2 linked regions of the Alligator mississippiensis genome follow. The protein of the gene in region 1 binds, or shares a complex with, the protein of each later gene. Links are inferred from orthologs where the notes say so. Each region holds a gene or a part of one and is shown in the gene's direction. Other genes may lie near its edges.

Evidence for each region.
Region 2: CHCHD3 (region 1) and MICOS13 share a complex: the UniProt entries of both Homo sapiens proteins name them as parts of the mitochondrial contact site and cristae organizing system (MICOS) complex. The link is inferred for Alligator mississippiensis from reciprocal best matches to the Homo sapiens genes CHCHD3 and MICOS13.

What each region holds. Positions count from the first base shown.
Region 1 is NC_081827.1:7,414,625-7,425,687, forward strand, and holds the start of CHCHD3 (MICOS complex subunit MIC19), read left to right. Parts: upstream 1-7,033; 5' UTR 7,034-7,078; coding exon 7,079-7,174; intron 7,175-9,701; coding exon 9,702-9,813; intron 9,814-11,063. UniProt on the Homo sapiens protein: Component of the MICOS complex, a large protein complex of the mitochondrial inner membrane that plays crucial roles in the maintenance of crista junctions, inner membrane architecture, and formation of contact sites to the outer membrane.
Region 2 is NC_081839.1:4,004,764-4,014,885, forward strand, and holds MICOS13 (MICOS complex subunit MIC13), read left to right. Parts: upstream 1-5,163; 5' UTR 5,164-5,236; coding exon 5,237-5,265; intron 5,266-5,669; coding exon 5,670-5,826; intron 5,827-7,344; coding exon 7,345-7,396; intron 7,397-8,525; coding exon 8,526-8,623; 3' UTR 8,624-8,725; downstream 8,726-10,122. Other genes in the region: HSD11B1L (hydroxysteroid 11-beta-dehydrogenase 1-like protein), read right to left, coding at 328-421, 1,058-1,149, 1,929-2,040, 2,904-3,034, 3,690-3,774; disintegrin and metalloproteinase domain-containing protein 10, read right to left, coding at 9,927-10,063. UniProt on the Homo sapiens protein: Component of the MICOS complex, a large protein complex of the mitochondrial inner membrane that plays crucial roles in the maintenance of crista junctions, inner membrane architecture, and formation of contact sites to the outer membrane.

The sequences.
Region 1 (11,063 bases):
GACGGGCATGAAGCCAGGAGATAGCTGCTGCTGCAGCTGGCAGAGCTCTCCTGGCGCCATGCACATCTCGACACACAGCTGACAACAAGCCCCTTTCCGGGCTGGACTTCCCTGCCCAGCAGGGGTTTGCCAGAAGCTGTCCTTGATGTGGGACAGTTACTGGTGAGCCCCCTGCCGGGTGGGGTTTCCCTCCCCAACACAGGGTTTGCAAGGAACAGTCCTGCAAGGGGGGCAACTGCCAGTGAGCCCCATGGCCCCTGCTTGACAGGGGGCTTGACAGCAGCTACCCGGCTTGCGGTACAGGTCCCAGCCAGCCCCATGCTGAAGGGGGGGAGGGCTCACTAGCAGCTGCCGTGCCTGGGTTCCCAGCCTTTGCCCACCCCCTGGAGCAGCTCTGTATGGTGCAGAGCTGGGATCTCCAGAGAGCTAGTCGAGGCTGGAGTTCCCAGCTTCGCACCGTGTAGAGCTGCTCCAGAGAGCGAGCACACTGCACAGGCCCTGCTTCTGCTCACTCTCTGGAGCTCCCAGCTCTGCTCTGCAAGCTGGGATGGGGTAGAGCTCCCCATTTCCAGTACTGATCATCTCCTGGCTCCTCAGGGGACTGGGAACCTGAGCAGCACCAGGACTGAGGACAGAGAGCTCCCCATTCGCTGTGGCCTCCTGCTGCCTAGGCTGACTGGGAGCAAATTTGCTCCCAGTCAGTGTTTACAAGTGCGGTACTGCACAGTAACTACTGTGCAGTTAATCTAGTACCTGTATTTACAAGTACTAGCTAACTGCGTAGTAGCCTAATTTACTGTGCAGTAAATGCCCTGCACATGTAGACTTTGATGCTTTACTGTGCAGTAGATTAATCTACTGTGTGGTAAAGTGTCTCATGTAGACACACCCATTGAGCAAGGTTCCCTCTAAGCTGTGCGTGTGTGCGGCTGTGCACAAGAAAAAATCATGCCGCGCAGTAACTTTTTAATGCCGTGCACCTGCCCCAACCTGGCCACAGGCTGGTGCAGGAGGGGGGAGGGACAGGCACACTGAGATACCCGCGCACTCCCAGTCAGGACTGCAGCCGCAGGCAGGTAAGTTTCACTGGTCTCGGGGGTGGGGACAGATTGAGACCTCCACAGTGCAGGAGGGAGTGCAGTAGGGGCAGAGCACTGCCCTGCTCTCTCCTGCACTGTGGGGATTGTCCCACGACCCAGCCTGGCCCAGCTGGGGGCTCGTTCACCGTGAATGGGGCCCTGGCTGGGCTGGGGCAATTGGAGCTCGGCGGTTCATCTAGCGGTGTGGGCGGGCGGCTGTGGATCCCGCCACTGCATGCACCGTGGGGGAGAGGGAACACATTCCCATCCCTGCCCCACCCCAGCTCCCTCGTGCCATACCCCTAGACGAGCCACTGGGCTCTGATTGCCCCATGACCCTGCCTGTCTGGGCCGGGTCGTGGGGCAATCGGACCCCGGCAGCCCCTCCAGATGCATGGCACGGGCAGCCAAGTGAGGGCATGTGGCCTGGCCCCTGATCTTTGCGTGGGGCAAGGGTGGGCAGGATCTGTGCTCTACAGGCTCCCTGCCTCTGCACCTCATTGCAGCCTTTGAAAGTGATGCTATGTGCCTCGCTGCTAGGCCCGCCCAGTGGCGGTATGCACTTGGTGCTGTGCCACGTTCAAAGGCTGCAGTAGGGAGCAGGCAGAGAGCACAGACCGAAGAAGTGTGCTCAAGGACTGAATTGGGGTGCTCATGGATCGCTACACCTTAGAGGGAACATTGCCAGGGAGGGCACAAACAAACCAGATAAATGAGGGGAAGAGGAAATAAAAAGAGCAAAATATCATAGAGAGAAGGTTTATGTACAGAATAGCTTGCTTCTTGCCTAGCCTGAAGAAATTCTTGGAGGGGTGAATGATACATGATGGACTAATATTGCCAGCATTCATCATAACATAGAATGGAATTGGAGGTTGTTCCTGAAACTGAACTCCATCAGTCTCTGTCTGCAATCTCTATCTCTGCTCTCAAACCCACACTTTCTACCCATTAGGAACCAACTCACAGCACTTGTTTTATTCTGGAGCAACCTATCTACCTTGGGGGGTTGTATCAGCCTCAATATCCAAGGACAAATATGCCTCTAGAGCAGTGGCACTCAACCTTTAGGAGCCGTGGGCCGGAAGCGTAGCGCAGTGCTGGTCTGCATGCTGCATTGGACCCTACACACCAGGATCAGGCCCCGTGTTGCCTCCCTTGCATTGGGGCCCTGCAATCCCAGACTGAGTTCCAGTGCCACCTACCTTGGCTCCATGCTGCCAGATCAGGGCCCCACACTGCTTCCCTCAGTCCCACACCACCTCCCTGGCCTTACAATAACTTCAGCTGGCCCCTGTGTGCCTGGATTGAGCCCCACATGCCAATCCAGCATGCTATCTGGCTGGGGGCTCCCCATAAGTCTGGAAATTTGGCAGCAGGAAAACAGCAATTGGTGCCACCACTCCCCCCAGAGTCAAATTTTCAGGGCCATGGGGACCCCAGCAGGCCAGATGGCATGGTTCTGCAGGCCAGCTCTAGCCCAAATGCTAGGGGTTGAGTACTCCTGCCCTAGCGTACGACATAACAAGGTGCATGTCACAGCGGCAGGTGGTGAGAAAGAGATTACATGTGTACCTAGGAGGACTGGGCCAGCTGATGAGGATGATTACTTGGCGCAGGGAAAGTTAAAAGCTCCCAGGGAAGGGAGCTGGGAGAGAGGGAAGGCTGCAATGTTGGTGGCATCAGCATTGAGCCAGGGTCCTCTCTCAGGGTCTGGGAAAAGAACACAGGGTTTGGTTAACTTTATTGTTTTGTACTTGGTGTTTGATGATTTATGGTTTATGTTACGTCCTGTGGGGCAAGTTTGCCCAGGGAAAATAAAGACAGTATTATGCAAATTGACAACCTGCTACATAGGGGCTCTCAACCATTTTATACTTGTGGCACCCCTGGAAAAACTCAAAGCACCCCTTAGAAAATGTCACCTCTTAGTTTTCACCCTTAACTATAGGAAAAATACAATAGAGCAGTTTTTGCTGTTGCAAAGAACTCAGAAAGCCCACAGCAAGTCATAAAGTTTTTCACACTGCAGACTGCTATATGAAATCTCTTGGTTTATCTTGTGAATGGTGATTGCACACCTAACAGCGTAAACACCGTGTGCTACCCTTGAAAGGATCTCAAGGCACCCCAGGGTTGAGACGGGGTTCAGAATCACTGCTCTAGAGCCAGGTCCTGTGGACGGTGATGGTGTGGACTGAAAAGAGATTGTAAACGATTGTTTTCTGCCTATTAGTCTAAAGGGCAGGGGCCCGCAACCCACTTGATCACTAGATAGCAGGCAGGAAACTGAACCTGCCAGAGGGAGAATCCCAGTATGTTATAACAGCTGCATGTAAATGGTTGAACCAATGAAATGAACTATGAAAGCGAAAAGAAAAGACATGGTACAAGACAATGCAGTGTGTGAACCCAGGGGGTTTGTACCACGGGTAGGATCTGGTGTTGCTCCAGAAGTGGCATGTGACCAGAGAAGTAAAAATGGCATCATCCCGGATACAAAAGTTGCAGGTTTCTTACCAAATGCCTTAAACGCACAAATGTCAGTAGTCTCTACTTACCAGAATTGCCGCTTCCTAACATCAGGAGAGCAGTAGCAACCAAAAAACATTGCATTGATCCGATCGAAAACAAGAGGCCCCCATTACACAGACAAATCGTGGCTGCCAGCGGACAAAAATCATGGAAAAGAGTCTTCTCTACGATGCGTCCCCTGGATGAAACACTTCACAGGAATAAAAATGTGGCAATCACCACTAGAGATGACCAAGGAGGGTCTTGTGAGGAATACCTCAACTGCCAGGGACATGGGGGTCCCCTATGCTGGGGAGAAACCCCCCCCCACTGCTGAGGGGGTGCAGCCAGGGACATGGGGGTCCCCTATGGTGGGGAGAGACCCCCCCCCACTGCTGAGGGGGTGCAGCCAGGGACATGGGGGTCCCCTATGCTGGGGAGAGACCCCCCCCACTGCTGAGGGGATGCAGCCAGGGACATGGGGGTCCCCTATGCTGGGGGGAGACCCCCCACTGCTGAGGGGGTGCAGACAGGGACATGGGGGTCCTCTATGCTGGGGAGAGACCCCCCCCACTGCTGAGGGGATGCAGCCAGGGACATGGGGGTCCCCTATGCTGGGGGGAGACCCCCCCACTGCTGAGGGGGTGCAGCCAGGGACATGGGGTCCCCTATGGTGGGGAGAGACCCCCCCCCACTGCTGAGGGGGTGCAGCCAGGGACATGGGGGTCCCCTATGGTGGGGAGAGACCCCCCCCCACTGCTGAGGGGGTGCAGCCAGGGACATGGGGGTCCCCTATGCTGGGGAGAGACCCCCCCCACTGCTGAGGGGATGCAGCCAGGGACATGGGGGTCCCCTATGCTGGGGGGAGACCCCCCACTGCTGAGGGGGTGCAGACAGGGACATGGGGGTCCTCTATGCTGGGGAGAGACCCCCCCCACTGCTGAGGGGATGCAGCCAGGGACATGGGGGTCCCCTATGGTGGGGAGGGACCCCCCACTGCTGAGGGGATGCAGCCAGGGACATGGGGGTCCCCTATGGTGGGGAGGGACCCCCCACTGCTGAGGGGATGCAGCCAGGGACATGGGGGTCCCCTATGGTGGGGAGAGACCCCCCCCACTGCTGAGGGGGTGCAGCCAGGGACATGGGGGTCCCCTATGCTGGGGAGAGACCCCCCCCACTGCTGAGGGGATGCAGCCAGGGACATGGGGGTCCCCTATGCTGGGGGGAGACCCCCCACTGCTGAGGGGGTGCAGACAGGGACATGGGGGTCCTCTATGCTGGGGAGAGACCCCCCCCACTGCTGAGGGGATGCAGCCAGGGACATGGGGGTCCCCTATGCTGGGGGGAGACCCCCCCACTGCTGAGGGGGTGCAGCCAGGGACATGGGGGTCCCCTATGGTGGGGAGAGACCCCCCCCCCACTGCTGAGGGGGTGCAGCCAGGGACATGGGGGTCCCCTATGCTGGGGGGAGACCCCCCCCCACTGCTGAGGGGATGCAGCCAGGGACATGGGGGTCCCCTATGCTGGGGGGAGACCCCCCACTGCTGAGGGGGTGCAGACAGGGACATGGGGGTCCTCTATGCTGGGGAGAGACCCCCCCCACTGCTGAGGGGATGCAGCCAGGGACATGGGGGTCCCCTATGGTGGGGAGGGACCCCCCACTGCTGAGGGGATGCAGCCAGGGACATGGGGGTCCCCTATGGTGGGGAGAGACCCCCCCCCACTGCTGAGGGGGTGCAGCCAGGGACATGGGGGTCCCCTATGCTGGGGAGAGACCCCCCCCACTGCTGAGGGGATGCAGCCAGGGACATGGGGGTCCCCTATGCTGGGGGGAGACCCCCCACTGCTGAGGGGGTGCAGACAGGGACATGGGGGTCCTCTATGCTGGGGAGAGACCCCCCCCCACTGCTGAGGGGATGCAGCCAGGGACATGGGGGTCCCCTATGCTGGGGAGAGACCCCCCCCACTGCTGAGGGGATGCAGCCAGGGACATGGGGGTCCCCTATGCTGGGGGGAGACCCCCCACTGCTGAGGGGGTGCAGACAGGGACATGGGGGTCCTCTATGCTGGGGAGAGACCCCCCCCACTGCTGAGGGGATGCAGCCAGGGACATGGGGGTCCCCTATGCTGGGGGGAAACCCCCCCACTGCTGAGGGGGTGCAGCCAGGGACATGGGGGTCCCCTATGGTGGGGAGAGACCCCCCCACTGCTGAGGGGGTGCAGCCAGGGACATGGGGGTCCCCTATGGTGGGGAGAGACCCCCCCCACTGCTGAGGGGGTGCAGCCAGGGACATGGGGGTCCCCTATGCTGGGGAGAGACCCCCCCCACTGCTGAGGGGATGCAGCCAGGGACATGGGGGTCCCCTATGCTGGGGGGAGACCCCCCACTGCTGAGGGGGTGCAGACAGGGACATGGGGGTCCTCTATGCTGGGGAGAGACCCCCCCCACTGCTGAGGGGATGCAGCCAGGGACATGGGGGTCCCCTATGCTGGGGGGAAACCCCCCCACTGCTGAGGGGGTGCAGCCAGGGACATGGGGGTCCCCTATGGTGGGGAGAGACCCCCCCCACTGCTGAGGGGGTGCAGCCAGGGACATGGGGGTCCCCTATGCTGGGGGGAGACCCCCCACTGCTGAGGGGGTGCAGACAGGGACATGGGGGTCCTCTATGCTGGGGAGAGACCCCCCCCACTGCTGAGGGGATGCAGCCAGGGACATGGGGGTCCCCTATGGTGGGGAGGGACCCCCCACTGCTGAGGGGATGCAGCCAGGGACATGGGGGTCCCCTATGCTGGGGAGAGACCCCCCCCACTGCTGAGGGGATGCAGCCAGGGACATGGGGGTCCCCTATACTGGGGAGAGACCCCCCCACACTGCTGAGGGGGTGCAGACAGGGACATGGGGGTCCCCTATGCTGGGGAGAGACCCCCCCCACTGCTGAAGGGGTGCAACCAGGGACATGGGGGTCCCCTATGGTGGGGAGGGACCCCCCACTGCTGAAGGGGTGCAACCAGGGACATGGGGGTCCCCTATGGTGGGGAGAGACCCCCCACTGCTGAGGGGGTGCAGACAGGGACATGGCGGTCCCCTATGCTGGGGAAGGACCCCCCCACTGCTGAGGGGATGCAGCCACAGTCAAGAGGGTTGCTATCCCACAATGCACCGCGGCCCCCTGAGGAGGGCGGGCCCTCCGGCCTTCCCATCATGCCTCGCGCCTAATCGGGGCCTGTGGAGAACTGCGCTACCCAGCGTGCCCCGCGGCGCCGGGAAGAACTTTTCGGCCCCCCCCACCAAAAAAAAAAAAAGTTTTTCTTTTCGTTGGCGGTTTCCATGGGCACCGCGCGGGAGCCAATGGGCAGCGGGCTTGCAGGCGCGGGGGGCGGGGCGCGGGGCGCGGCGGACCAATGGCGCGCGGCGTTGCTGCGGGGCGGGGCCAGCCGAGCCGGGCCGGGCCGAGTCTCCTTGGGCCTGTGCGGGCCGGGGAGCCATGGGCGGCGGGGGCAGCACCGGGCGGCGCGTCAGCTTCGAGGTGGACGAGAATGATCACGTCACGGTGGTGAAGGGCGTGCGGGTGAGCTCACGTGTGCGTGCTCACACAGACGTTGCACGCACGTGTTTCTCTAATGTCCTCTCTAGGGCGTGTGTGTATCTATGTATCTGTCTATCGAGTTACCCCCTCCCCCCCCCCACCAGTCCGCCCTGGACACGGCAGGAGAGAGCAACCACAACCATCCTGCTCATGGTGTGTCCACGCAAACGCACACACGGGCACATGCATGTGTGTGTGTGTGTGTGTGTATACACACCCCCTTCAGATCCATGTGTTTGAAGGGTGCGCAGCGTGCACGCGCATAGGCATGTAGACACACGTGTGCATATACAGACACGTGCACGTGGCGGGTTCGTGGTTCAGTCCGCGACACCTTCCCGTTTTCCACCTCTGGTTGCCGTGGTGAGGTTCAAAGCGTAGTGGTTGTTGCAGCAGCTCTTCCTCCATTTGGGACGGTGCTGGGGGATGGTATGATGTGGATGTCCTTGAAGCGCTTTCTCTGCCCTCTTGCGTGCATGCCTTGACTGAGCTGGGTTGAGCCCGGCTCTGCTTGGGGTGGGCATCAGCAGCACAGGGAGGGGGGCTATAGTGGATTTTGGGGTGGCTCTAGCCCCCACGTCCCTCCCAGCGCTGCTGCCTCCTGCCCCCAGCGCAGCCTAGCCTCCCCGCACTGGGAAGAGCCCCCATCCACAGCCCGCAGTGGCAGCCTGCCCTCCCCACGCGCACAGATGTGGGGGGCGTATGACCTCCATGTTGCCTGGCATGTGTGTAGCAGTGGGAGCCCCCCTCACGGCTCCGTCTCATGCTCCGGTGCAGTGCCTACCCCAGCCGCGGCAGCAGACCCGCTCCTCCCTCACTGCAGGCGCCTCAGTCTGCCGCCGCAACAGACTTACCAGCCAGATGCTGCTTTTCACACTGCCGGGCTGTGCTCCTGGCTGCCTGCGTGCTTGCACTGCGGCTGCGCGCACGCACGCGGCGTTCGTCGGCAACGTTATCGGCCGTATCAGCCACAAAAGCCGATTGCCGATAATGTCAGTTTTCCTTTTATCAGTGCCGATCTGATGTGGTACTGGTGTATCAGTGGACCTCTAATGTATAAAGTAGGTGGAATAGTTTTTAAACTGCACATTATGTGTGTAGACACACATATAATATGATGTGTGTGTATTCAGACGTGCACACAGACATGTATACATAATGTGAAGTTTAAGGGAGGTTTCCTTAAACCCATGTGCACCCTGTATGAGGTGCTTAACTACATGCATGCAGGGTCATAGATTCATAGAAGTAGGGTCGGAAGGGACCTTGCATATCTTCTAGTCCGACCCCCTGCCCTGAGCAGGAGAGAAAACTGGGTTCAAATGACCCCAGTTAGGTAATCATCAAGCCTTCTCTTAAAGACCCTCAAGGTAGGAGCCAGCACCACTTCCCTTGGAAGTTGGTTCCAGATCCTAGCCGCCCTGACAGTGAAGTAGTGCCTCCTGTTGTCTAGTCTAAACCTACTCTCTAACAACTTATGGCTGTTACTCCTTGTTACTCCGGGAGGCAATCGGGGGAACAAGGTCTCTCCCATTTCCCACTGTTCCCCCCTAATAAGTTTATAGACAGACAGCACCATGAAAGCTGGAACTATTTACTAAAAGGTTGGAAGGCCTGAGACAAATACCATGCTGGTAAGTACAGAACAAACAAGTAACATGTTGAACATATATATGTAACATGTATACATTTGTTCAATGTTTTAGCAGTGTCACCCAAAAAGAATTTGGACAAATAAAGCCTCTTTAGATCTACCTTCCTAATGTATTGTTGCTTTATTAGGTTGAAGCTGTGTCAAGTCAGTTGTTATTTTTTTTCCATTTGAGAATGAGGCCAACAGATAAAGTAGGGAATCTTATTTGTTTTATTTTGCTTTTCTTAAAAAGAGAGTGAGAGTGAGGTACAGCAAGATGCTGAAATAAAAACATGATGATTAATACGGGGATAATATGGATTGTATTTTTGGTGGGCTCATTTATGCCTGAAGCCTGGCATACTTTCCTCTCCAACTTTGGTCAAATATTTCTGAAGCTACCAACATTTGTGAGAATTCTGTGCAATGCTGAGGTTAGAGCATGTGTTGACTACTATTGTCACTTGTATTGCCATAATCAGTCAGGGCCAAGGCTGTCTTGGCTATACCCAGTGCTCCTGCAAAGTGTTCTACTTGATTATGATCCAAATGACTGAGACAAGGATGGGAAGAAAGCATATGAGCAACATGTAAAAGGCATAGTACTTGTTGTTTATATTTCCTTTGTCCCTAGATTTTTTTAAAATTCTCCTGAACAATTCACTCCAGCTTTTTGTCCATGATATACACTAAACTGCAAATTAACCTAATTCACTCTAACCAGAAGGAACTGGTTTTGCCTGGGGAGAAAAGGTAGGGAAGTAAAACCTGTTAAAACTTGACCAAAGAGATAGAATTAGGTGATATTGCTTTTTATTCTGTGATTTTTATGCTGGCTCACTTCTTTTTTTGCAGCTTGCTTTATGTAACTGAGTTTTTTGTTTTCAGATCTCTGACTCTGTCATCGATCGTATGAAGGAGACATCTTCACCCGGTGCAAAACCATCCTCTCACCAGCGATCAGCATCTGGTGATCATGGCTTGCATGGAGCTGCTGCAGGTATGTGTGTACTTCCTGGGGACAGAAGAGCGGGTAGGGGAAAGAGAGAGAGAAAAATAGGGTGCATTTTATAGATTACTATATAGTAGGTTTGGAACGTTTCGGAATCTTTTATTGGACCAGATAGTATACTTGGGAGAGAGGTTAGGCAAGCCTTGAGGGACAAAGTGTGCTGGCCATTTGTGTGTTACTGTTTCATGGTGATGAATCTCTTCTTAGAAAGTGAACACATTCTAAGAATGTTTTATGTTTTAACAGGTTTTATGGTATTATAACTTTTAATTTATTTATTTTTTTCTCTTCCAAGGACCTTGACAATAAAGTGTTAATTTCAGGTGATTGTTATAGACTTGGGTTTTTAGTTCACAACTAGTATTTTAAGTATTTTCTTAAAAACATACAAAATAAATGAGGTTAAAGGTTAGACACTATGGCAGGTATGGGCCTTGAGGTAAGATTTGAAGCTGTAGAATGTAGCAACTATATTATATTGCACTGAATGCATTACAAATATTAAATTTCACAAATGCTCCTGTTATGAAGTAGTCTGTTAAATTTAACAGAAAGAGAAATTGTGACACGATGAGGTGAAGTGCTTGATTTTGCACACTGGATCAGCTGCCAGGGTGTAGTCAGTGTCCTTTGAAGTCCATAGGAGACATTTCCATTGACCCCCGTAGACTATAGAGTAGGACCTTAGTCCTCTTCTTCAGTCCAAAAAATCTAATTTTGTGAAAAGGATGTCATTTTTGTTGTATAATGTCGTTATGAAAAGAGCACGCCACAGAAATGCATTGACTAGGTTTTCTTTGAAGTTATCCCCCTACCTCTTCTAGGCCTTTGTAGTGATATGTTTCACCATAGACTCTCCATCTGCCTGAAGAAGGGTGTTTGTACCCAAAAAATTGCAAGGAACAATTTTTCCAGCTATTTAGTTGGTCTAATAAAAGATATCACATTTACTCAAAGAACTTTGTCTACCATAGCATTAAAGTGCTTTTGTAAACCCGGAAGTTCTTGTTGGCGTTGCCCATCATTATCATTATATGCAGTTAAAGAACAAACTAAATTTGGTGTGTTGAATAAAGAGAGCCTTGTACTTAGGAAACTGTGAAATATGAAGGGGTGGGTGATTGGAGCATAGAACTTGAAAGGAATCGCAGAGGCCTAATCTTGAGGTGCATGTGAGTTGGTTCTATATTTGGCTCCTCCTTGTGTGGGGGAAGCAATATACTTCTGAATAGTTTGCA
Region 2 (10,122 bases), on another chromosome or scaffold:
ACAGGCTTCCCATCTCCAGCAGAGGCAGTGTGAGACGGTTCCCTTCCAAAAAATGCACCAGGGGAAAGTACTCCTTCCTGACCCCGCATAGCCACTGAATAACCTAATATTTGGCCTCTCACTCCAGAGATGGCTGTCTTTTAGCCGTGTCCTTGACAGCCCATGTGAAGTGCTGTGGGGGTCAGCAGCCCAGACAAGCTCTAGCAAGGGGCAGTCAGACTCTGAATCGAATGACTGTGGCAACACTGGTTGCGGACCGTGAGGAAGCACAGCATGCCGGGAAGTGCAGCCCTCCTGGATCGTGCTTTGTGGAGGTCACAAACTCACCTGAGATGGAGGTCACCACAACCACGGAGCCTTTGCTCTCCATCAGGACCGGAAGCGCAGCCATCGCCAGGGCCACGTAACTAAGGAAATTCACCTGTGGAGGCAGGAGAGGGGGCATGAGAAGAATGAGAAAGTCACCGTTCCAAATCTACACCCCTCCTGAGCTTACCTGTAATGTGAATTTACAGGTAACTCTTGGCCTAAGTTTCCCCCTGAAGTTGGGGTGTCGCCCCTTGCTACCCCTCTCTATCCCCAGCCCCCAGCTTCCACTTCCACATTAATAAAAGATTCAAGCCTTCTCATTACCATGTCTCAGCAACCCCATAAGTCTGCCCCTCTGGGGTCCTAAAACCTGACCTCAGGAGGACTCCACAGAAAGGCCCAGCATGGACAGGCATGGTGCAAGAGCCAAGGCCCTGTAACACAACATCAGTCAGGTCCTACAGCAGCACATACCTTGGCAATGAGACGGACAGACAAGGGCAATGCTCTAATCAGTTCAGCTCTCTACCTGCAGGCTTTCAGACCCCTCCTCCCCCTTTCCCTCCAGTCAGGAGCAAAGCATCACAGGCTTTTTTGTTTCACCCTTTCTGGAGCCAGAGGGCACAACTGCAGCCCTGCCAGAAGCCAGCGGCTCCTGGGAGCTGCCCCCAGCTTGATCCCCGCAGGGGCCAAGCCTCTCTGCCCCTCTCCTCCACCCCCAAAGGACTCCTACCCTAAGAAAACCCACCTGCAGAAGCCAGCGGGTGTGCTCCACGTCCCCATCCCACATCTGTAAAGGGGTCGCACCAATGTGGTTCAGCACCAGGTAATCCAGGCCCCCTGCAGGCAAGGGGGCAGTGAGAGTTGAGTAAAGCACCCCCCACAAGTCAGGCAGCCAGGGGCTGCGAATTGCAGCACAGAGGCACACTTGGGGCTTCACAGGCCAGATAAAATGGCCTGGATCTGGCCCACAAGCCGTAGGTTGCCAATCCCTGCCACTGCTTTTCCCCCCTTACACATGCACAGCAAGAACGGTTGGCTCTGACCAGCTGAGCTCACAATACACAGTCTGGGTCCTGCTTCATGCTGCCAGTCCAAACTCTCCTCTTCTACGCACACATCCCTGACCAAGATGGGGAAACAGAGGCACCGTGCTCCTGCGGTGAGGAGGGCTGAATAGATACCCAGAGAGATGGAGGGGAGTGCAGAACGAACCACGATAACCTGCGGGTCAGGCAGGGCACCCAGGAAAGCTGACGCTGCACATCTGGCTCTCACCCATGCAGACCGGCTTCATGAGTGCAAGATGCAGCAATGCACAGCCCGTGGAAAAGGAGGTGCAGCAATGCACCCCCCCTCCCCGGACCCAAGCTCATGGTGAATTGAAGCAGATGCTTAAAGGGAACCGCAGAGTAAAGGCAGTTTGGTGGGGATCACTGCCGTCAGCTTCTCCGAGCACCTTTGACCCCGTGTCACCTCCTTGCCCACACAGCCGCCATGGGGACAGTGCTCTGCTCTCAGCTGGGTTGGATCTCTGGGATCTGACTCACTGAGACCCCACCCTGCTGGTTCCTCCTCCCCAGCATCAGTTGCTTTTCTTCTAACAGACCAATACCTACCCATCTTTTGCACAGCGAACTGCATCACCCGCTCGGGCTCCGCAGGGGAGATCATATCAGCCGGGATGTAGAAGACCTTCTTGGCTCCCAGCTGCAGACATTTCTCCGTCACCTGGAGAAATGACCCAGATAAACCAATTGAAGTACATTATCAGGGCAGGGGCAGGGAGCTTATTTCCTACTCACCTCCCTCTTTTCTTGCCTGGGTCAAGGATGAACAGAGACACACTTTTTCCATCCAAATTTATAATCACACAACCTACAGGGGACCAAATTCTGCTGATGCACTCAAGTCTTGTTTACAAGGGGGAAATTAACTGGAAAAGTTCTCTGTGCGGACACTCGCAATCTGCTTTCCAAGTGGATTAATCTTAAAAGAAAAAAACCTCTCTTATTCTGGAATAATCATGCCAACATGGAGAGCTATTCTGGAATAGCTGGTAAACTGGAAATCCATCCTTTTCCTTCAGCTGGAATACTTTTCAAGCGTAGACAAGCCTGAAGGAGCCAGGTCCTTTGACGCCGTCACAGCACTGTTTGACATGGAGGAATGAGTCAGGGGTTGAAATGTGATGCTAGGCCTTGGGCTTGTGACCCCCTGCCCTAGAGCAGAATTGAGCTCGGAGCTGTCGAGATGAACGTTACACCATTCACACAACCTCAGGGGCATTTGCTCTCAATGTTGCTCCACCTTGTTCTTCAGAGAAGCCTGCTATGAATGTCCAACCTGCTCCAATGACCCTGCACAGGTCAGGTTCCCTCCTAGATCATCTCTCCCACCATGCATCCAAATCTGATGAGGGAAGTGGTGCATCCTAGGAGTCAGATGGTGGTGCTGCCTGAGAGGTGTGAATGTGGCTGGGCAGCTCACCCATACCAGTTTGATGGAAAATGTCTGACCTGCCCTACATCCTCATTGTTTTTAGGTCCACGTCATCAGCCCTGCTGCCCTCTACCATGTGAAGGAGGTCTCACCTTCTGCAGCACAGCTTCCCTCCTGGCTGTCAGCACTATTTCGGCACCAAATCTGGAATAATGATAAGCCATCTGCTCTCCAATCCCAGCGCTGGCACCCGTCAGGAGCACGCGGGCGCCGGAGATGGTTTCTGCAGGGTGGAAAGAGGAGTAGCAATGACTGAGGGGTTCAGACCAGTGGCCACAAGTCTCTGTGCTTCTCCAGAGCCAACCAAGATTCAGGATTGGGCTGGAAAACCCAGTCTGGGTGGGAAATAACATGGGAACGCTGGTCCGGCAAGGGCGGGGAGACCCTTCTCCTTCCGAGTGGCACCTGGAAAGACAAAGTCTAGCTCTGACCGAAATTTTGGATCAGTCCCTGGGTCACGTGAAACCCTATCCCACTATAGCTGCCGGGCAGATTTGACTCCCCTATCTCGCTGCAGTCGAGACGCCTCCTTTTGTTGTGACCAATTTGCTGAATCATTACGCCTCCTGTTCCTAATGAGGCCATCCCTTGCAGACATGTGCAACCAGCAGCCAGAGCTCCCAAACCCTCCTACCACTGACCCGCACCACCTCTGCCTGCCTACAGTGCTGCCACCCCCCTGCCTCCTCCTCCGCCGTGTTTCCACTTGTTTTCACAGGTCTCCCAGCTCCCATCTGCCGCCGGCTACAAGGAGAAGCAGTCCCGGAGAAGCAGACGACTCTCTCCAGATGAGAACGCCGCAAACCACCATTTCAAAACTCAGCCTTTTTTTCTCCCCCGACAGCTTCTGGCTCTCGTGCTTTCCTTTCTGGGCCTACCTGGGTTAAAGATGTCTCTCCAGAACAAAGCCAGGAGCCCGGCGGCAATCCCAGCTGCCCACAGCGCCTTCCATCTTGCAGACATTTCCCCTGCGGCGCCAGACGACAATGCAAGGGCGAAGCCTCAAGGCTGAGTCCCGTCCCAGCGCTGTTCACCTCTGCCCCTGAGGACAGAGGACAAAGTCTGGGCCCACCGCTCCCTCGTGCAGGCAGCAGGGAGACCCTTCGGGTTGCTGATTTACCTGGAGGAGACAGCTCTGCCAGGGGACCAGGTTGCAAAGCAGCTGCAGTTCCACTGAGCCGGGAGATGGGAGCTGCACAACCCTGAAAACAGAGATAAAAAGGAGCAGGGCCATGATGCTCCTGACTGACTGATGATACCCAGGGCCGAGCATCCTCTAGGAGGAACAATGCCCTGCTATTGCAGAGACATGGGAACTTCATCCTGTCCCCCCCCCCGCGGTGTTTGGCCTTCTGCAGGCTCGTTAGGGCCGGATTTCGGTGGCACTTGGGTCAACCCAGTCAAAGCCCGTGTCAGGGTTACAACAGCCTCTCTCTCGCTGCCTTGGCTGCATGGTTTGGATGAGGCGCCTCGTCAAAAGATGAAGGGAAATCACAGAGCGAGGAGCAAAGTCTTGCGACGGTCGGCGCAAGCAAGCTCCCCACGACCAAAACCTCGTTACCTCGGTCTCTAGGGAGACGAGGCTGCAGCCCGTCCGTGACCCGGACCTTCCTTGCAAGCTTAGACGCAGAATTAGGATACGGCTACAATTCCCCTTCATTTTTATCACCGCTCAGTCAGGGGGGAAATAAAGGACTGGCACCAAATCTTCTTGAATGCAGAGTTTCTCTCCTTTTGCTTCAGCCCAACATCGACAGATGACTTATTTTAATAGTCTAATCGTTGTTCTCCGATTGGTTTTATTCAGATGTTTTTGTTTCACGCCAGTTTAAGGAACTGAACTGAACCAGCTCTCGCGGCCGTGGAAAGAGTCGGTCAGTTGGGATGGATGCGCCTGCGCGAGTCCCACGCACGCCTGGAGGGGACGATCCCTTCGCAGTATTTATATTTCCAAGTGGCAAGCCTGCTTGATTTGTATGACTCATCTAAGAAACAATGCAGATATCCACTAGGAGACATTTAATTACACTAATCATTACAAGCCAGAGTGATGATACAGTGTATGTATATCTAATTTTGGGTGATATATTCTGTACAATCTGCATGCCCCCCCACCCATGCTGTTTCCTCCTGGGTCCTGCCCAGCCCCACCTCGCAGAGGCTGCTGGGACAGCTCTCCCCCAGACGGGGATCACGTGACCCCACCCCAACCCGGAAGCCAGGCCGCTGCCATGCCAGCTATTGAGGCGGAAGTGCGCGCTGCGGCTGGGGCGGGGCCGCGCCTCGGCAACAATGGCGGCTTGGCCACGTGACTGCAGCCGGCGACTACAAGTCCCGGGGGGCTGTGCGGCGAGCCGGCCGGGCCGGGCGTGGAGGAGTCGGTGCAGGCGGGCGGGCGGCGGCGCGCTGCCCTTGGGCTGCGGTCATGGCGTCGCGGATCTTCCCTGTCGTCAAGTGAGTGCGGCTCGCCGACCTCCCCCGGCTGGGGGTGCACGGGGCCGGGCACACGCGTCCTCGGGGGGTCCAAGGGGGCGCCCATGGCTAGGGAACGCACGTGTCGGCGGGCACGTGACTAAGGAACACGCATGTCTGGTGGGTGCAGGTGTGATTGGGGAACACGTGTGCTTGGGGGGGTGTGCCCATGTGTATGGGGGGGGTGCAGGTGTGATTGGGGAACACGTGTGCCCTGGGGGGGTGCAGGTGTGCCCTGGGGGGTGGCACATGTGACCAGGGACACGGTGCCCTGGGCTGGGGGGGAGGGAGCGGCCCGTGTCCCCTGGAGAGCGGGGGCTACTTCAACAGCACCTGGAGCCACGCGAGACCCACCCCGATGCCGTCTCTGACGGCTTCCCTCCCAGGTTCATGGTCAAGGGCAGCCTGGCCGGCGGCGCGGTGTACGTGGCGTACGACCAGGGCCTGCTGGGAAGCGGCCAGCAAGGCGCCGAAGCCCTCCGCAAGGCGCAGGCGGCGCTGCCTCCAGCCATCAAGGAATGGACGAACTACGTCGGCTGGGAGGTGAGGACGGCGCAGGCGGCTGGGGGGGCGCCGCAGGGAGCCCCTCGCTGGAGGGGGAAGGAAGCAGAATTCGGGTTCTCCCGCGGCATCGTTTTGCCGCCGACTTCAGCGGAGTCGGGATTTCACCTTGGAAGGAAAAGGGATTGTGCGCTCGTTTCTTCTCTCCCTCCACGGGTCTTATTGGAGGTGGGGTGCGCAAGAAACAGTTTGCGGAGGACAGGAGAGGAGCGTGAACATGCCGTGTGAGACAGTTTCTAACCCCCTTGGGGGTACACGAGACACAGGCAGGGGTATGTGGGTACCCCAACACTCTCACCCTCTCTTCTTCTCTTGCCCCTTCCACCTCTCAAAACTATGGCCAAAAATTTGGTGCCCTGCACATTTGCACGGTGCTTTAAATTCCCCAGTAATAATTTGGCATGCCACGCTTTGCATAGCACTGGATTCAGCCCTTCAAACTTCGGCCAACATCGCCTCTAGCCCAGGCACATGCTTGAGTGGTGCACCCCTGGTGTAAAAGGTGTGCAACCCTGCACACACCAGATCAGACATCTATCATATCACAGCCTTATAGACACAGCCCTTCTTCCAACATATAGCACACATTAGTCTGAAAATATAAAATCCCCTGGAAAATTGAGTGTTGAGGTACTTATTAAATTTTTCAGAAGTTAGGGGGTACTTGCTACTTAAAAGGTTGAGAAACACTGATCTGGGAGGTGTTTTTATGATAAGTAATGCTCCTGACCCCTTGTTGGAAAGCCTCTAAATCAGAGGTTCCCAGCCACTGGGCCGCGGCCGTGAAAGGTTGGCTGCCAGGTCGTGGCACGAGCCCCCCTCTCGGACACCAATCTGTCCACCCCAGCAGCAGTCGCAGCTGGGTGCCAGGGCAGCCCCAAGAGGGAGACTGCTAGCTCTGGCTCCATCCCGCTCCGCAGTATGAGACAGGTTGGGAACCATTGCTCTAAAAACTACCGAATGGATCCACCCTCAAAGACCCACTCCTGCCCTGCTGCTTCCTGTTAATAACATGGTCTATAAATTGCTTGCGGTAGTTTTCCCTTGGCCTGGCTCTGACTCCCTAGATTGGAAAATCTGCTGTGCAGGGACAGTGTTTCCTGGACTAGGAAAGCCCTAGTGCCATAAATCGAGATATAACCATAATAAACCAAGTCCTGGTAAAATTTAACAGTGATATTTTTAAAAGCAGCCAAGTGGATTCAGATCTAAATCATTTTGGTGCACTTTTAAAATGCTGCCTACTGCCCCAGTCTTACAAATGGGCCAGTAAGAGAGAAGGTAAGAGCCCAGGTTTCTTTTCTGTGCCCCATGGAATTGAAGAGGGAGTTAGGTGCCCAAATACCTTTAACAATCGGGGCCTGAGGGCCTTGTTCAGCATGACCTGGGAAGCCTGGTGGTGCCTGTTCTGCTCTTTCCTCTCTTAGCATGTTGCTTAGCGGCTTTGTATGTAGCTAGCGGGCCAGACATTGAGGTTTTGCCTCTTGTTTTCTCTTTCAGCTTCCATCTACTCCAAAATTTGACTTTTCTGTCTCTGAATCCTGGAACAAAGGTAAGGCTTCTGCTTTTTTGCTGCAGAAGGGGGCTGCTGTCACTGATGTAACTTATCCAACAATCCTATTGTGAGGACTTGGCGAGAGCTAGTGCATGGAGCACTGGATTAGGATTTGGGAGACCTGGCTCTGCCACTGACCTTCAAGGTGGCCTTGGGTGGATCTCTTTACAACTCAGTTCCTCAGTTTCCTTGCCTGTAAAGTGGGGATAATATTGGCCACCTTTTATTCAAAAGTGCTTTAAAATCTACTGATAAAAATGCCATGTTGAAGGCAGGTGGCCTTTTTGCAGCTAGTAACCCAAGTACAGAAGCACTCGTAGAATTGGCAACAAAGCATGATAGTGCTGAGCTGCTCTTTAGGAGGTCATCAATTAAAAATTGAGGAGTTCTATAAAATCCTTCAAGTGCTAGTACAATCAGTGGGACTCGGCATCTAACCTGCTGTGATGGTCTGAAAATGTAAGATGGTTCCCGTTATTATTGGGACTTCTCCAAATAATACAGTGCCCTTCTCCAGCCTTTTTGATCTGATCATTGCTAACATATGTGGAAAACATCTAGAAAATGAACTCAACCTGCTTCTCATTTTCCAGAAGGAGAGACTGTGGGCAAGTTGCTTACCGTTTGCAGGCCTGAGTTGCACAGCAAGTCTGTGTCAGACCCAGGAATAAAATACAGAGTATCCAGGCCTGTGCTGTAACCATGAAGTCTCCCTTCCTTCAGACCCCTTTAATATCCTAGACAGAAAGGAGTGAAAGGGACCACAAGAGGACATCTCATCCAGCCCCCCTGCTCAATGCAGGGGCTGAATTGCCCCAAACATTTGCCAAACCTACACTTACAAGCTTCCAAGGACAAAGGTTACACCACTCCCCTGGCTAGTGGGCTAGGTAGTGGTGGTGGGGAGGACCCACTGACTACTGATGAGACCGTAACAACTGCACCAGAATCAGGAATTATTCAGGCCTAGACTTGACTGAAGATTCCCTTGATATAAGCCAAGATCTCTGGTATTATGTTTAAACGGGGAAGGGCGTGTGACCCACGATATCACATTATTGGTGGTACAGCATGCTTTGTTAATGCTTTTCTCAGGACTCCCCTCCATGTCTCTTTTTTCTTGCAGGAGTTCACACTGCCATGTCGGCTCTGTCTGTAGCTCCCACCAGGGCTCGTGAATACACCCAGAAAGGCTGGAAGTATGTGAAGGACCTTGCTAAATGAACACTCTCCAGGGCTTGCTGCGTCTCCGAGATGATGCATAGCACGCGCCTCTGAGGGGCAGCTCAGCCACGCAAGGGCTACAATAAAAGACTTTGGAACTTCCCTTTGCATTCGGGTCAGTGTCGGCACGTAGGCTCAGCCACGGGGGCTAGGAGCCACAGTGGGGACAGGGCCTGATTGGGGTGAGTTCTGCCTAGACCGGTGCATTCAACCGCTGTTATAAAGTTTACCATTATAAAGCAGGTCTTTCAGTATTGTACAAGTGTAAACCAAAACCCTACAACACCTAACCAGCCCAACAGACATACTAAAAGATATGGTCCAAGGACAAAGCCCAGTACAAATAATCAGAGTTTCAGCAACTGCAAGGAGACGAGGAACATTTTTCTATCTTAAGCTAAACCCACTGGACTGACTGCTATCTCTGACCTATCATCCCATCCTTTATAATCCCCAACACTGATTTAATGCCAATCTTGTGTCCCCTTTGAATCCACTGATTGCGTAGCCTTATTCAAATCTACCTAGATTTTGGTCTCAGTAACTTCAATGAGACCTTGACTAATACAGCCTTGTTTCCACGTAGTATATAGGCAGCGCCATCAGACCTGCCTTTAGCCAAGGAAAGAAATGCTGCCTCTTATGAAAGGTGTCTTGAATTCTTTTTGGAAACATGTGAAGGGTGATACAGGAAATGATTTGAAGCAGGAAAGGTTAATCACTTTGCTGATGGAGACCAGCTTCTGAGATAGAAGGTATATCTACAATTCAGGCACTGTGGCTTGCAGAGACCTACTTAAGCTAGTTTTAAAACTAACTAGCTTGGGTACCAGTGGCTGGCTAGCTGTAAAAGCTAGAGTCTGGAGTAATTATTCTTGGAGCATTTACCTATCTTGGGTGGGTGTTGCGGCCTGCCTTCCATGTGGCTGCAGCTATGCTGACAAAAGTACCCCAACTCGGGAGTTTAATGCCAGCACCTGTATCTCTATACAAGCTGCAGGGTGAACATCAATTTTGTCCACACCTGGGCAGAAAGCCGAGCTGCAAAGAGCTGAAGCAAAAGTCACACAGCAGATCTGGCAGTGGGAGGACTAACCTTACACGGAAGCATTTGTGGCTCCTATTGTGCTCTACTATGCGGAGGGCAGAACCCAGGAATCTTGGATCCCAAGAGCTGGTTTTTCAGCAGAAGTTGCTGGGGCCAAGTCCAGTCCCTTCTTTTACGTGCCTGTCATGAGCTGAGACCTCTTGGAAAATCCACTCGCGAGGGGGTCTGCGAGTACTGCTGGATCTGGATGCTTTGCTATATGATAGTCTCATACTCCCGGTGCGTGGTTTCCATGTAGAACTCCTCGTGTTCATGGTATATTAACATCCGTCTGTGCTGAGGCTGCTGGCTGGCTGAGGCCTCCCTGACTGTGCTCTTTGTGTCTTTCTCTTCTAAGTAAAAAAGAAACCAAACCAAACCACTATCAGCAGTGATTCTTCTGTAGGAGTTG